2 linked regions of the Diceros bicornis minor genome follow. The protein of the gene in region 1 binds, or shares a complex with, the protein of each later gene. Links are inferred from orthologs where the notes say so. Each region holds a gene or a part of one and is shown on either strand. Other genes may lie near its edges.

Region 1 (7,926 bases):
AAGGGCTATATTATAAGGAAGAAAACCACTTGACATTAAGCCCGTCTACTCTTAAAGTTAAGTAGAGAGAGAGACAGAGCAAGCTCCTTTCTCCACTACAATTTTACCAATAACTTAAACCATCAAGGCTTAAACAATTATCAAAGTAAACAGTATTAATTAGCAGAAAGATCATACCTAATTGACTGGCTTTCCAAAATGTTTTGTTAGCCTAAATTTTTGATGATTTATTGAGATACTCAAATGGAAAGAACTCAGCCACCAAAGCATACTCTTATTATAGACCCTAACAGGGGATATAAAATTATTCATGGTAACTGAACCTGTTACCTTTCTTGGATGCTTCTCTAGGAACTCAGTTCTACTGAATTCACTGAGTCAGCATTAAAACCTTTTGATCCAAATCACTCCTACAAAATGTCCGTTTACAATTTATGCTGGAGATGGAAGGGACAGCTCAAAAGCAGGAGTGCAGAAGCAATAAGCATTTAAAAAAACAAACAAAATAGTGTAAGTGGAAAATGAACTACTTATTTGGCACTGTGCTATGAAGAATCAAATTAGAATAGAACCTCCCCACCTCCACCCCCACCACACTCGCGCGCGCATACACACAAGAGGAAGCTATTTCAGGAATAAAATTCATTCTAAGCCAAATGCCTAAACAATTACTATTTTCCGATTCTATGCATTTACATGGTCCACCGACATAAATTATGTTGACCTATCAGATAATATTTACTCTTAGAACATTAACATCAATTGACATACTTGGGGGAAAGAAAGTCTTTAAACTAAAAAGCCTAGATGTACACTGTTAACTTAAAAAAAAAAAAAAACCTCTTAGTTTTGTTGCAGTAGAAAGTAAATCTTTTATACAGAAGACTTTTCATTACATTCAAAATTTGGTTAGTGTCACGATTGAACATTTGACTTATTTGAAAACGTTATTCTGGCATAAACTAATTCTTAAACAGCTGCAAATATTGACCCAGATTTTGAAATCTTGACACAATAATACCACAAGCAAAAATAAACAAATAAATACAAAACAAAACAAAAACATTCTTACTTGTCCCATTGGCGGCCCTCCCATAGGGGGCATCATTTGCGGCATCATTCCATGAGGTACAGGAGGCATATTGGCTCTCTGACCCATAGGGTGCATTCCCATTGGGGTATAATGCATGCCAGGGTGCCCCATCTGAAAAACAGGGACAATTTAAAAATTAGCAAATAACAATAAATGCTTCTCAAAAATCTGATTCCCATAATTCAGTTACGTATAGTGGTATAACATTAGGCTGTGTAATTCAACTATTGGGTTAGCTTATACTTTCTCATCTTAAATAAACTGCACTACACTAGTATTTATAATGGGTTTGCAACTGACCAAATTCCAGAACAAAATGGAAAAAATTAAAATCATTAGTGGACAGCAGATCGTAGCTTTTATTTTTAAAGCACACTGACTTAGTTACTAACTTGCTTGCTAAGCTCGGAGGAAATGTATGTGAAAGCCAATTTAAAAACTGTTACAGTAAAAAACCACAACTCTGTCCTATTTCACACAGACAGAAGATAGCCACCTACTGTTATTTTACAACGCTACATATTAAACTTATTTCTAAACTTTTACTAAGCTTTAAAACTCTGAATTTACCAAATTAACTCAGATGACAGTTGGTATTATAAAACACAACAGTATGGGTATCCAGAGACACTTCACTCCTAACAAATAAACACAATTTCCTAATAGAATCTCTAACACAGGTAAAATTACTTTTGCCAAAAAAATTTTTTTCAAAGATTGAGGTCTGTCATTCAAAGACACTAAATGCAAACAACTAATTTGCCCATTTCAATGCGCTTTTGTAAGACAACTACTTTCTTGACTCGTGTGTCCATTGTTCCAGGTCTTAAAACCAGGTATTATCCCCTGCCAATTCCCCCAGCTGTCCTCCGCTGCAGACACCACTACTACAGGTGAAAACAGATTTTGGCAGCCTCTCTTAAAGTCTACAGAATCAAGTCTCCGCCTCCCCCTCCCTGTTAAATCGGGCCTACCTCTCCAAGACGCTCAACCCGCCCAGGGCCCAGCACCTACACCGCGCATCTGTCTAGGCCAAGCCCGCTAGGAACTTCCAGGGTCCCACATCCTTCCCTTTGTGCATCCCCGCCCTCCATTTCTCTCCCTCGGAACATATCCCACCATCGCGAGCTCTTCCTTCGTCCACTCTTATCTTCTTCTCCTTTTGGTTAAAGCTTCCTGTCTCTCTGACTCCGTTTTTCATTGTGCCGCTTTCCCCCTGCCCCACCGATCCCTTACCGAGGGCCGTCTCCTCAGGAAGCCGTCAGCAGAGACCCAAGAGCTGGAGCAGAGGCTTGAGCCGGACAATCTCCGCTCCCCGTCCCCGGGACCCCGCGAGGGAGGATGGCTCTCCATTTCACTCACCATGAGGCCTCCACGCTCGGCTCCCGTCCCCGGCCTCATCGTCGGGCTCAGACTGCTCCGCCGGCGGCCACTGCCGCTACACATACCAACAAGAAGCGATCTGAGTGGCTGGCGCCCGCTGGGGCCAAAGGTTAAAGGCTGCCCCGCGCTACGGGGCGGGATCAGCGGGGCCAATAAGCTGACAGGCTTCCCCGCTGTCCAATCAGAGTGAGCTGCCGACACGCAGCTCTGCGGCGATTCGCCCCCAGCCTCAGCCTCACTCGGCGTCGCCTGCATGGAGGGGGGGGGAAGGGGACGGAGGAAGTTTCTGCGCCGAGTCCTCTGCCGGGAAAACTCCACCAACTTCCCCCCGGGAAGGGAAGATAACCGTGTCCCAGCTTCCCGAGCTTAGACTGCCTCACCCCGTATGGGGTGGGGCCGTGGGGCCTGCCACCTTCACCCCCCGCCCAAGTTACGTACGACCCACAAACCTGAGGCCGCCAGGGGTAGGGTCGGGTGGGGTGGGGGTAGGATAAGCAGCTTCTAGCGTTAGCGGTGGCCGGATGCGCGCGTGCGGTGCTCGAGGCGAAGGGGAGGGGGCGGGGAGGGCGAGAGAGGAGGGGTTGCGAGGTGAGGGTTCGAGCTCCGTACGCACCAGCCGGAGAGCGCGCGCCGGGGCGGAGCGGGAGCAGGAGGCGTGTCGAGCTGCGTGGAGGGAAGTTGTGGCAGGGGTGGGGAGGACAAGGCGAAGGGGAAAGTGGGGTGGGCAGTTAAGGCGAGGCGAGAGCGCCGGGCGGTGAGCTGCCGTTAAGTAGGGAACGCGGAAAAGAGTGCGAGCGTAGCCGGGAAGAAGGGAGAAAGCAAATAGGTTTGGGAATGTGAATCACAGGTGCACGGGCAGGCGCTAGGACCGGGCGTCGGGAAGATGCGGCTTTGGGGCTGGCGGGACGCGCGCTTGCCTGGAGGTGACGCGGCGGTGGCGAAGGTCTTTGGCCGGGACGAAGCACTGCAGGGAGAGGAGACTCGGCTGTCTTGGGCCTCGGCTCGCCTCTCCCTGCGCGCTTTCCTGCTCTCCTTCCCTCCTACTGCCAAGGGGTCGAGCTCTGGCCCAGGGGCGCCCTGTCTCTCTTCGGGCCTCACGGCACCTTCCCCGCCCTACCGCGCACCCTTGCGCACCCCTGCGCGCCAGGGCAGGGTGGTGGAGGCCGTGGGGGGCCCCGGCCGTTGATTGGCTGTGCGAGCGCGGGGCGGGGCGGATGGGAGACGCTCGGCCTCCGCGCGCCGTATCGTCTTTCCCGCCATGTCGTTTTTAGAGAGCGGGAGGACCTCGGTTCCCCTGCGCCGCCGGCTGGGCACTCCTTTCCCAGTCGCTCGGCCGGCGTTTTCCGCGTTCTCTCAGGGGGACGGTTGGGGTGAGGGTCAGGTCGACGAGGAGGAGGGATGCGACCAAGTGGCCCGCGACTTGCGGGCGGAGTTCTCGGCCGGGGCGTCGTCGGAGCCTAGAAGGGGCTCGCTGCTCCCGCCGGACGGGGATGGGTCCCCGGTGCTGCCCGATAAGCGCAATGGCATCTTCTCGGCGGTGGCGGGCGGCCGAGCCCAGGCTCGGCGGTGGCCGGTCCAGGTCCTCTCAATTCTGTGTTCGCTGCTGTTCGCCATCCTCCTCGCCTTCCTCCTGGCCATCACCTACCTGATCGTAAAAGGTATTGTAGTTACGGCCTTGAAAGGCTGTCCAGAGTAAAGTTGAGCCTGGACGTGGCTCTCGCCTTCATCACCCCCCTCCCCATCAAAGACCGGTGAGGTGGTAGTCGCTTTCACCTAAAGTATTCATCAGCACTTTTCTTGGCTCTTCCCCGTTTGCTTTCTCTTTTCTTAAAGGTGGAAGGCCCTGGTACATCATCAGGAGACCTATTGTAAGAAAGTCTTAGTTAAATGGGTACTCTTGAAGAAACAGTATCTTCAAGTCGGCGAACACTTGAGATGAAATACTGGCAAAATTAAGGAGAATAACCATCATTAAAAAGAGATGGTGAAAAGTGTGTAGATAATTAAAATAGGCTATACATGTTCAAAGATTTTAACGGACAGATGATTAAAGATGTGCTATCGTCTGATTCCCATGTACACACAGAATTCCTGGAGGACAAGGATTTCCATTCAGCCCAAGTTTCTATTTTTATAGGTAAAATAATTAGCCCCTCTCGATTTTGGGTTCCCATCCTAGTGTAGTGGTAAAGCTCTATTGTGGGAGCTGTAGTCTGTTCTTTCTCTGATTAATAGTTTTATTTTCCTGTGTCTGAAAAGATGTGCCTTGAAAGGTTTTCCAAAGCTTATACAGAAGGATTGTATGGTTGGGTATTTTATATTACTGTAGAAAGAATCACACATGAGTTTAAATCTCATTTGTCACTCGTATGTGATTTTGGCCAAGTTATTGAAAAAGAAAAATTCAAACAAAAAAAACTACCTTAGTTTGTTGTGTGAAAAGCACCCAACGCGTTGTCACTGAAGTATTACTCTTACTTCACTATTCAGTAGTCTGTTTAGCTCTGGTTTTTATTTTTCCTCATTGTTTCCAAGCTGCTAGTGGGCTGCAGAAGGCTTCTAACAGCTTGGTAATGCTTGGTTTTCATGCAGAAGTCAGATTGGCAAGTTAATGTGCAAGTTGTACCTTTTCATAAAAGGGTATTGGGTGTAAACTGTCAATGTTAAATATTTGGGTGCCAGTGTTTCATTCCTATCAGTCCCCTCCCCTCTTTTTTTCACTGCACCTCTGAGAAGAGTTTCATCTTATAGGTAGTTTCTCTTTTGCTCTGAGAGATTGCTTTTATATCATAAAGTCACAAAACCTCGTATGTGGAAGTCCATTGCAGAAGACATGGATTCTTGCTTATTTTGGAGAATGGAGAAAGGAACTGAACTCAAAACCTAGTATCTGCTGTAGTTTGCATGACATAAAATGTCTTCACAAGGGCCAGCCTGGTGGCATAGTGGTTAAGTTTGGCGTGTTCCACTTCAGTGGCCCAGATTCAGGGGTTCAGATCCCAGGTGCAGACCTACACCACTTGTCAGCCGTGCTATGGTGGCGACCCACATATGAAGTGGAGGAAGATTGGCACAGATGTTAGCTCAGGGTTTACTCTTTCTCAAGCAAAAAAACAGAAAGATTGGCAACAGATGTTAGCTCAGGGCCAATCTTCCTCAGCAAAAAAGAAAAAATGTCTTCACAGCAACATTAGGAAGTAAACATTCCTGTTTTATATACCTGGCAGTTGACTCATATAGATGTCTTATTTGCTCACTGGAGGTCACATAGCTGGTAAATGGAAGCAGAATTTGAACTTGGTTGTTGCTGACTCCAAAGCACTCTCCACAACTCTACAGTGTCTTCCCAGCCTTTAAGCTACTTTTCAAATTATAAAATCATCTTTTTTACCCAAGCACCTTTTTGTATTTACAGAATTACATGCTGAGAATTTGAAGAAAGAAGCTGATGTAGACTCTGGGCTATTAGGTATGGACTTAATTGTCACTTGATTTGATTTTGAGCTCACTTTTGTTTTTCCAGATCGTATTTAAACTCTACAAAATTTTAGATAAAATACTTAATATATTCCCTTGTGCTTTTGATTCAGTCTTGATCTTGCAGACCTTTCTAATGAAAAGACCTTGAAAGACCTTACTGTGTGTGGTAAATTTTATTAGATTTTGTTTTTATGTATGTATGGCATGTGATGTGTGAGTGGGTATACCACACACACTAGGAATACAGTTTGAATACAACTGTGGGTGACTAAGACCCAGAGAATATTTAACGTTTTCTAATTACCTTCTGGAATAGTCTCCCCACGCCTCTTCCCAGGAATTAAAAACAAACACACTTTCTCACAGACTTGGCGAAGATAACATCTTAAGTAGACCTTAGGAGAAATTTAAGTTCAAATCTGTTTAAAAGCAACTTCTTTTGTAAAAAAAAAATTTGAAAAGCATTAGGCATACTTGCACAGGTTAACGATGACTAGGAAAGAGTCAGACTTTCTGTAGACTGTAGCATGCTGTAGTTTACAGGTTTCTAGTGAAAAATTGAAGGGTTGTTTATCTTGTATTTATTTCTCCGCCAAAATGATTTAGAAGAGTTCAGAACTTTACCTGTCTGGCATATTTTACTCCTATTTGCTATAATTATTTGATTGATTGCTCTAAATTGGGGAAAAAAAGTTTGAGATCCTATCTTGCATGTCACCCCTTCCCCCAGTCTTAACTAAACTGTGTAGACTACCTCTTCAAGGCTAATGCCCTCATGATGATACAAAGTATTGTCTGACTGATTTTGCACAAAGGAAAACGTTTGTCTTCAAATTGCACACAAATTAGTTTGCTAGATATCCCTTGAAAACTTGTCTACGTTCTTCTCAACTTCTTGCATGAGAAAACGTACTTTTTACTTACTCATTTTATTAGTGTATGTAGTTATACTGTTTCATCCTTAAAAAACAACCAAGATTATGAGGTTTTTCATAGCATTTATTGATCTGTCAACTCTTGATGTAGTAGAAACAAAATCTTATGAAGTAGGCATGAATTCTAACTTGCTATTTAAAAGTTGGCAAGATTTCACATTTATGAAAAGAATGAGTGGCATTTGTTATCTGCTTTTGAATGGCTTGTTATCAAAAGGCGTATAATAGGGCTTTGTCATTGCCCTGCTTCCTTTTCCACTTCCAGTTAAGTAGTCTGGTATTGCTTTTAGGTGTACTTGGTAGATGCTTAATACAATAACAGCAAATAGGAAGATCATTATCTGAGTCTTTGCTAGTGACATGAATTTACTTTCAAGATTCGGGAACAATCTCAGGAGTGAGGAGAAACCGCTGTATCTTTATGGCAAAAAACCACTGAACGGTAGTTATGGCAAAACAAAGATCCTTATTTTGAACTAATGCTCCACTGGTCAAATGGAGAATATATTCAGCATCACCTAATGGACTATTCAGTCAGTTTCCTGAGGATTAATTTTAAAGTAAGCATAGTTATATTTATAGCAAATATACATTATAACGTGTGATAGAGAATACTCTTCTCTAGCAAGAGAATAAGATTCTTCAAAATCTGTTTCAGAGAATCAGTGATTGAGTTGATTAAGCTCTTATAAGGTTTGAGGTGACTGAGGTAACACTTGCCCTTCATTGGCCTAAGCTGGAATTCTCCTGTTGGGGAGAAAAATGCTAGTTAACCTCTTTACTGAATAATGTTTTGAATTGACTACTAGCCTCTGAATAGTCCACTTACAACAGCTGATGGTTAAAGATAGGCCAGTTCTCTCAAACCTTGACTTGCATCTAAATCAACCCTGATTTTGTTAACTTAGATATCAAGAAAGATTGCTACATTAGCTTACTCCCCAAGAAATGCCTGTTAAATTATATCTTACCTTTTTACAATTGATATAAAAGTTTTCACAGAAAAGAACAATCCAGAATGTTTAATAAAAACTG
Region 2 (7,814 bases), on another chromosome or scaffold:
GGGCTCTCCAAAGGCGGGACACTGAGCAGACAACCACGGATCTGCTCCCTCCAGTCTCAGCTAGCTGGGTGACACGACCTCTCAATCTTGCCTGCGGCTTGGGGCTTCTGAACTATCAGAGGTAGAGTTACAAGATGAAAACCGCCAGGGATTAGCAGGAAGGGGCTGAAACCTCTCCCCCTTTACATTCCAACACCAATTCTCTGACACCAACTGGATGTCCTACAGTTCAATTTGATTCTGACACCAACCACCCTGAGTCGGCAGACCCCACAGGTTAAGGAATTCAGCCACAAGTCCTGGGTCTTGTCTCCAGGTTACCCACACCTCTGTCCAACTTAGCTACAAATTCGGAGGTTCCCACAACTCCCCTCATGTTCAATAATTCGCCAGAATGAAACACAGAACTCAGGAAAGTGCTATATTATGCTTACCGTTTTAATATAAAGGATACAAATAAACAGCTAGATGAGGAGAGGCAGAGGGCAGCAAGGTCTGAAAGGGTCCTGAGCCCAGGAGCTTCTGTCCCTGTGGAGTCAGGGGACACCACCCTCCTGTCACATCAATATGTTCACCAACCCGGAAGCTCTCCGAATCTCACAGTTCAGAGTTTTTATTGAGGTTTTATTACACAGGCACTGTTGATTAAATCACTGGCCGTGTGACTGAATGCAATCTCCAGCCCCTGAAGTGGGGGGTGGGGCTGAAAGTTGGCTGGTTTTTCTGGTGACCAGCCAGCATCCTGAAGCTGTCACTGGGCCCTCAGAGCTGGCAATGAGTCACCCTGTTAGCTAACCTCAGGTATGGGCCAGAGGAGCTCCTCAGGAAAAATGAAAGACACTCCTATCGCTTAGGAAATCCCAAGGGTTTCTGAAGCTCTGTGCCAGGATCTGCGGACAAAGACCAGACATATATTTTTTATTGTACCGCACCCTTGTATAAGATCAGGAGGCATCTGCATCTGATATCTGTGTGTAATTCTTGCGCCTGCAGCTCAGGAGATGCCCCGTTAAAACCAACGTGCCCTCTCATCTCATTGAATCAGCACAGTACCCTGCAGACTAGCGTTAATATTAGTCTTCTACAGACCAACTGAGGCATGGAGAGATTAAATGCCTTCCCTAGCTGCCAGCTGGAGGATGGCTGGCCCCATAGGACTGCAACTTGCCTCAAAAATGGGAAGTTGGCTCAGTGGTCCTCAGCCAGAGAGCAGCACGGTCTGCATTCCAACCCTGTTCTGTCCACAGAGGAGTCTTGCACCAGCAGACTATCCTGGCAGACTGTGAGACCTTGCCGTGGGTAGTTCAGCTTTTTGTGGCTCAGTTTTCTCATCTATAAATTAGAGAGAATACTCATCTCCAAAAGTTGTGTGGGTGAAATGAGCTACTACGTGTACAAGAACTCAGAACAGAGCCTGGAGCAGCCAACATCCGAACTCTCCAGCCATTAATTTGTCCTTGGAACAGTTACAAAAATTGATCATATATTTAACCACAAAGAAAATCGTACTTTTTTGAAAAAGTAGAGATTTTTAAGGCCATCTTCTGCAAAATCTAACAAAAATAGGAATTAATAATAAAAAGATGACCAAAATATTTTAACTTGGTGATTAAAAAATACTCCCACAAAATCCTGGATAAAAGAGATTAAACTGAAATGACTACAAAGCAGTGACAATGCCTGCCCCCTGAGACAGTCCCAGCTGCAGCCTTCACCATTATTAGTACGGAGGTGTCATTATTAGCATTAACAGTACATTTCTCTTCGTGCATTTGTCTTTCTCCTTTGCTAGACTACGATTCTCTGGAAGGCAGGAACCGAATTTCATTTACGGTGGTAGCCACCAAGCTGGTCTGCACTCAGTAGCTGCTCAAACATTGGATGACTCTTTTCTTCCTGCCTCCATAGAATTTGTCGTATTTACTGAATAAATTAATTTTTCCTTCAAACAGATGATTTAAACATTTTATATTTTTCCTTTCTTGTCTACAATATTAGCTTAATATTTGGTATATAAATAACACTTGCTCAGTGTAAAAAATTAGAATAAATAGAAATGGGCGGAAAAAAAGTAAAAATTATCTGAGATCCCCTTACCATCGGAAATTTGGTGATTGTCCTGTCAATGCATTTCTTTATATCTATACAGTTATATATAATGTTGTTATAAATGGGACCATGTCACACATTTTTAAAAAGTATGAGGCACTTTTTTTTTTTTTTTTTTTGGTAAGGAAGATTGGCCCTGAGCTAACATCTGTGTCAATCTTCTACTTTATACGGGACACTGCCACAGCATGGCTTGACGAGCAGTGTGTATGTCTGTGCCCGGGATCTGAACCCACAAACCCTGAGCCATGGAAGCGGAGCGTGTGAACTTAACCACTACACCACCAGGTAGGCCCCTGAAGCACATTTATAAAATATGTTGGGCTCCTAAACTGTATTGGATAACGTCCAGGCACCCGTTTCCCTCTGCAATGTCTTCACTGATAATGTGCCATGTATCCTTCCACAGCTTTCTCTGCACTCACATAATCCTACGCAAACAAGCATGCACATATATGGGCTTTGTTTCTTCTACAAAAACAAGATCATGTAATACATATTTCTCTGCTTCTTTTCTCATTTAATAATAATACAGCACAGAAGTCCCTCTAGGTCAGTTAGTATGGATTAACTCCTTTTCAAGGTGCCTAATAAGCCAGGTTATGGATATTCCAGTTTGTTTGACCATTCACATATCAATGGAAATTCACTGTTTCCAGGTTTTTGCCATTACAAAGCTGCAGTAAATGCAGGAGACAACCTTGAACACGTTATATTATATAACCACACGCCTTGCCTTAGGGCAGAGTCCCACGAGTGGGACTGCTACATTGAAAAGGTTTTTTTATTTTTCCTGAAAGGGGTACAATTTTAATAGAAACAGAATGCTTTCCAAAAATGTTCACAGTAGTCAGTGTGAGTGCATTTGTTTTTTGCGATTTTGATGGTTATATAGAGTCCTCATTATCACCTAATTTTCCATTTCCCTTCTTGGGGGGTTGGTATCCTTTCATATTTTTTGGCTATTTGCATTTGCTCTTCCGAGACTCGCCTATTCATAGCCTTTGCTCATTTCCTATTGTTTTTGTCTTTTTTCTAATTAGTTTTTAAGACTTCTTTGCATATTATAGATATTAGCTCTTTATTGTACATGTGGCAAGCATATTTCCCTGATATATTACTGTCCGTTGGCTTTTATCACAGTTTTAGTTTCTTTGGTAATCAAGTATATCTCTTCCTTATAGTTTGGATTTCCTGTGTTGGGGTTCAGGACAGGCCACCCCAAAATATACCACTTTGGCATATTGATTATTTTGAATTGTTACTTAAGAGGCAGCCAGTGCCAAGAAGGACATGCTGACCTTCCTTTGCCCCCTGAAAGTAGGAAATAAATCTCCCATGTGAAATGTACCCTCCCTGTACCAGGAGGTAGAGAGACATCCTTATCACTAGAGATAGAGAATTAAGGGCAGAGAAGGCTATATAAACAAACCTTGTTACTTCTTTACTAATTTACTACCCCAAGCCCAGACTTCTTTGTCTTGTTAATTCTTCACAGATTTACTGTTTCTTTGTCTAAAAGGTATAACAGCTGTGCACTTTGGACACTTCTTTGGGTATCATATTCTCCCACCTTACATAATTATAATTGTTTTTCTCCTGTTAATGTGTCCTGTTAACTTGATCAGATCAGCCAGACAACCAAGAAGGGTAGAAGAAAAATTTTTCCTTCCCTACACTTGTCTTCATAAAGTCTCTACCCCTAGATGACCCCGATAGTCTCCTAAATTGTATTCCACGTCTGTTTTATTTAGATTTAGGACTGTTACCATTTACCAACTGAATCTTTTCCTTACTGAACTGAAACACCATCTTTGTGGTATTCCTACATATATACGGGGAATCTATTTCCGTCCTCTATTCAGTTGTGCTAATCTTTCCTGCATCACATTGTTTGTTTACTGCGTCTTTTATTCTGCATTATCCAGAAAGGCAAGCTCCTCCTCAACTGTGTGTACAAGTTTCTCCACGACTTTCATAGTTATTATTTTATATGATTTTGAGATGATTTAACCTCAACCTCGATAAGATTTTAATGGAAATACATTGTGAACTAATCTTGGAATTGACACTTTATATTGTTTTCCGCCTAAGATTACGCGTTCTTCCATCGGCTCAGATATCGTTTTTAATCCTTCAATAAGACTATAGGTTTTTTCCTTCAGTTCTTATCCTTTTCAAAGAAAACAGGAAGTCCCTTTTACCTGCGGCGTCAACGGACCCGCTTCACGGGCGCGCGCCAGCCCCTCCCCCCTCGCCGGTTCCGGGTTACCATGGCAATCGAGGATTGACGTCACTTGGCGCTTCCGTGCCGGACCGGGGGTCGACCGTGAAGCTAGGGGCGGAGAGGCGGTGCTGACCCAACTACGCATGCGCGCTCCGACTCGACTCCTCCCCCGCCCTAAATCTCGTTCGGCCAGGGCTTTTCCGCCGCGACCTCTCGCTTAATCCCAGCGAAAGTGCTCCCCGGGGGAGGGGTGTAGAAAAAGGATCCAACCAGCGACAGCCAATCCCATGACACTACGACGCAACTGAGCATGGTTGACTCTATCCACTGCAGCCAATGAGAGCGCGCTTGGTCCCGACGTCACAGAGTTTGCCCGCCCTCTCCCCTCCTTTCTGGCCTCCGAGCTTAGTCCGCGCAGTAACAAATGAAGTGCGCGCTGCGACACCTCCCCGCTGGCCGGGCTCGGCCGCCATTTCCTCGCCTGGCCTAACGGTCCGGCCAATCCCAGGGTGCAGCGAGGAGGACTAAGGCTCCGCCAATCGGAGGGCGCCGACTCCGACCCCCTCGCCTCGGCCCGGCCCAATCCAGGCCCCGGCCCCGCCGCCCCCGGCCCGCCCCCGCGGCGCCCTCTCTCCTCCCTCTTTGTGCGTCTCGCGCCGCCGCCGCCGCCCGCCGCGTGAGAGGACGGACTCCGCGCGCTCCGCGGCAGCGCAGTCGGGTCTCCTCCCCCCGGAAGATTCGCGAAGGAGCCGCCGAGAAGGAGCCGCCGGTGCCGGTCCCTGGGGGCGCCATGGCGACCGGAGCGAACGCCACGCCGCTGGGTAAGCTGGGCCCCCCCGGCCTCCCTCCCGTCCCCGCGCCCCAAGGGGGCTTCGAGCCGGGGCCCCCGCCTGCCCCCGGGCCTGGGGCGGGGCTGCTGGTGCCCGGGCCGCCGCCGCGCCGGCCCGTGGGCTCGGCGGGGGCCCTGACCGCGGCCTTCCCCTTCGCGGCACTGCCGCCGCCGCCGCCCCCCCCGCCGCCCCAGCAGCCGCCGCCGCCGCCTTCCCCGGGCTCCGCGTACCCGCCGCCGCTCTACCAGCGCGTGTCGCCGCCGCAGCCGCCGCGTCAGAACCAGCAGCCGGGCCCGGCCGGCGGCGGAGGAGGTGAGTCGGGCCGAGAGAGCGCGAGAGGCGTCGCGCGGACGGGCCCGGCCGGCTGAGGGGCGCGCGCGGCGGCGGCGGCGACGGCGGCGGCTGCTGTTGCACGCGGCAGGGGCGCGCGCGCGCACGCACGGGGAGGCCCGGGCGGAGGCGCCACGGGGCGCGCGGCCTGGGGCTCGGGCCACGAGTGCGCACGCGCTCGGGAGGAGGGGGCACAGGGCGGGCGGACGTTTGCTGTGCGCATGCGCAATGTGGCTGCTTAGGCTTTGCGGGCCCGACTAAAAGCGGCGGCGGCGGGGGGGGGACGGGCCTTGTTGCTCTCCAGCCGCTGGTGTAGGGGAGCGGTGTGGAGAGGGTCGAGTGGGTGGACGGGGTGCTGGGGGTGCATGTCAGCAGGGAGTGAAAGGGTCAAGTGATGACGTGGAACATCTCCTTTCTGGCTGTAGAGGAGGCAGAAAAGAAGGAAAGTGTTAAAAATAGTCCGTCTTTTACAGTAAGGCAGGGATTTCAGTGCGGAGAACGAGAGAGGATGGAAGTCTTCAGGGAGTGGTTGGTCCGATCTTTTGTGGCCGTTTTTTAGGGAGGGACTCCTGTGTTTCGTTCTGATCTCCTTTCATTTCCCTTAGACAAGTCTGGTCCGCCTCCTCCTCGTAGTTGCTGGGGCTTTCCTCTCGGGAAGTAGAACGACTTTTGTGCACCAGATGTGTAGGGAGTTTCTGCCTATGTATGGGGGAAGGAGGATTTTGTTACTATTGCATCGCTTGTTCCCTGTTGAACGAGGAGTTCAGACACAAAGTTTCCAAACTGGCCAGGAAAATTGCTTATCTGCGCTAAACTTAAGAAAATAAGTGATGTTATTGAAGAGTGGGGCTTTTTCACTTAGTAACCGTAGGTTTAGTTGTGTTGTGGCCCATTTAGAAAGGTTGCTGGTGGGGAGGTGGAGGTGGGAGGAGCCAGCAGTCTGCCGATGTTGCTTTACGAACTTGCCTGTGGTGATTCAATCTACTCTTGTCTCCCCTGGGGCTTTTAAGGCATGATGTAGCGTATGTCTTCGAAACATTTTATTTCACTATCGGAAATTATGCGATAAGATTTGTTTACATACTTTACAGCGTTTTTCTGGACAAAAATTATAAATGTGAAATGTTAACCTTTTGGACCCAGGTCCAGGTCTGCTTATAGTGGTGTGTGTCTCAGGTTTGACTTGTGTACTTTGCCATTTAAGTTTTAGGTCAAGTTCTCAGTTTCAGAGCCTGCTGAACTTGTAACGTTATAAGTATCCTGAACTACGTGTTGGTAGTTACTGTGTTGATTTATGTTTGTGTCTCATGGTCTGTATCTCCCTTTAGACTTCCCGAGTAAGAAGCGGAAGAGGAGCCGCTGGAACCAGGACACAATGGAACAAAAGACAGTGATTCCAGGAATGCCTACAGTTATCCCCCCTGGACTTACTCGGGAACAAGAAAGAGCTTATATAGGTAAATACACGTTCTGCATCCAGATGCATTTTCGGGTTGTTACTGTTTATTCTGAGCAGTGTTTTTATCTGTTGCAAGCCTGAGATTGTGAAGTTTTCTTTTTTGAGATGAGGTGTGGTCAGGTGTACTTTCTTTGACATAATTCGTCAGTTTTTGCTCAGTGAGTCCTGCACTTGCAGCTCCTTGTTTGGTCTGTTCATAACAGCAGTGTTCTCCATGAGTGCCAGGAAGGTAGAGGGGCCCATTTAGGGTAACACTAGTCCCCAGTCCACAGCCCACCCCATCCTTTTCAGCTGCTGCTCACTGCCAGTTGATGAGGTGAGTGTCTTATGCCTCTCTGGACATGGCCCCAGTGGAGAACACTGCAAGTATTGTAAACCAAGAACCTTTTTCACAGCATGGCCTCTCACCATAATTTCATATTTCTCCCTCCCCCTAAAACGTGATTTTTTACTTTTTATAGGTACTTTCTGAAGGGAAAAAAAAAACCTCAGTTTAATCAAAAAGTGGTTCTGAAAGTGTGTTTACAGTTCACCCCCTTTTACCATTTGGTTGAATCTAACCTTCCCTTCAGCATCTTTTCTGTTTTGGTCTTTGGAGAGCTGTCTTAAAATGAGGGCTCTTGTATTTACTATTAAAGAACTCTGCTGGGAAATGGATACTGCTTGGAAATGGAATGAAGTGGTAGGATAAAAATCTTAACTGTTGGGAAATTTCAGGAATTAAGAATGGCTGTCCACAGTGGAATCCGAAGTTAACCTTAAAATTACCTTTTTTTAAAATACAAGGTTTTTAATGTAAGTTTTACCTTTATTTACGTACCTGTGCAGCTGTCTCAAAAATTCACTTGATAAGCATTTC

The links.
Region 2: the proteins of PRPF40A (region 1) and SF1 are in contact, whole or in part, in an NMR structure (PDB 8PXX), measured with the Homo sapiens proteins. The link is inferred for Diceros bicornis minor from reciprocal best matches to the Homo sapiens genes PRPF40A and SF1. Residues at the interface, in NP_001352526.1 of Homo sapiens: His164, Ser166, Tyr172, Tyr174, Ser181, Thr182, Trp183, Tyr213, Tyr215, Ser222, Arg223, Trp224; in NP_004621.2 of Homo sapiens: Pro575, Pro576, Leu577, Pro578, Pro579, Gly580, Ala581, Pro582, Pro586, Pro587, Pro588, Pro589, Pro590.

The regions. Positions count from the first base shown.
Region 1 is NC_080749.1:36,490,379-36,498,304, forward strand, and holds the start of PRPF40A (pre-mRNA-processing factor 40 homolog A), read right to left. Parts: upstream 3,016-7,926; 5' UTR 2,732-3,015; coding exon 2,330-2,731; intron 1,205-2,329; coding exon 1,073-1,204; intron 1-1,072. Other genes in the region: ARL6IP6 (ADP-ribosylation factor-like protein 6-interacting protein 6), read left to right, coding at 3,735-4,134, 5,892-5,945.
Region 2 is NC_080770.1:8,309,403-8,317,216, forward strand, and holds the start of SF1 (splicing factor 1), read left to right. Parts: upstream 1-4,808; 5' UTR 4,809-5,126; coding exon 5,127-5,478; intron 5,479-6,824; coding exon 6,825-6,953; intron 6,954-7,814. UniProt on the Homo sapiens protein: Necessary for the ATP-dependent first step of spliceosome assembly. Binds to the intron branch point sequence (BPS) 5'-UACUAAC-3' of the pre-mRNA. May act as transcription repressor.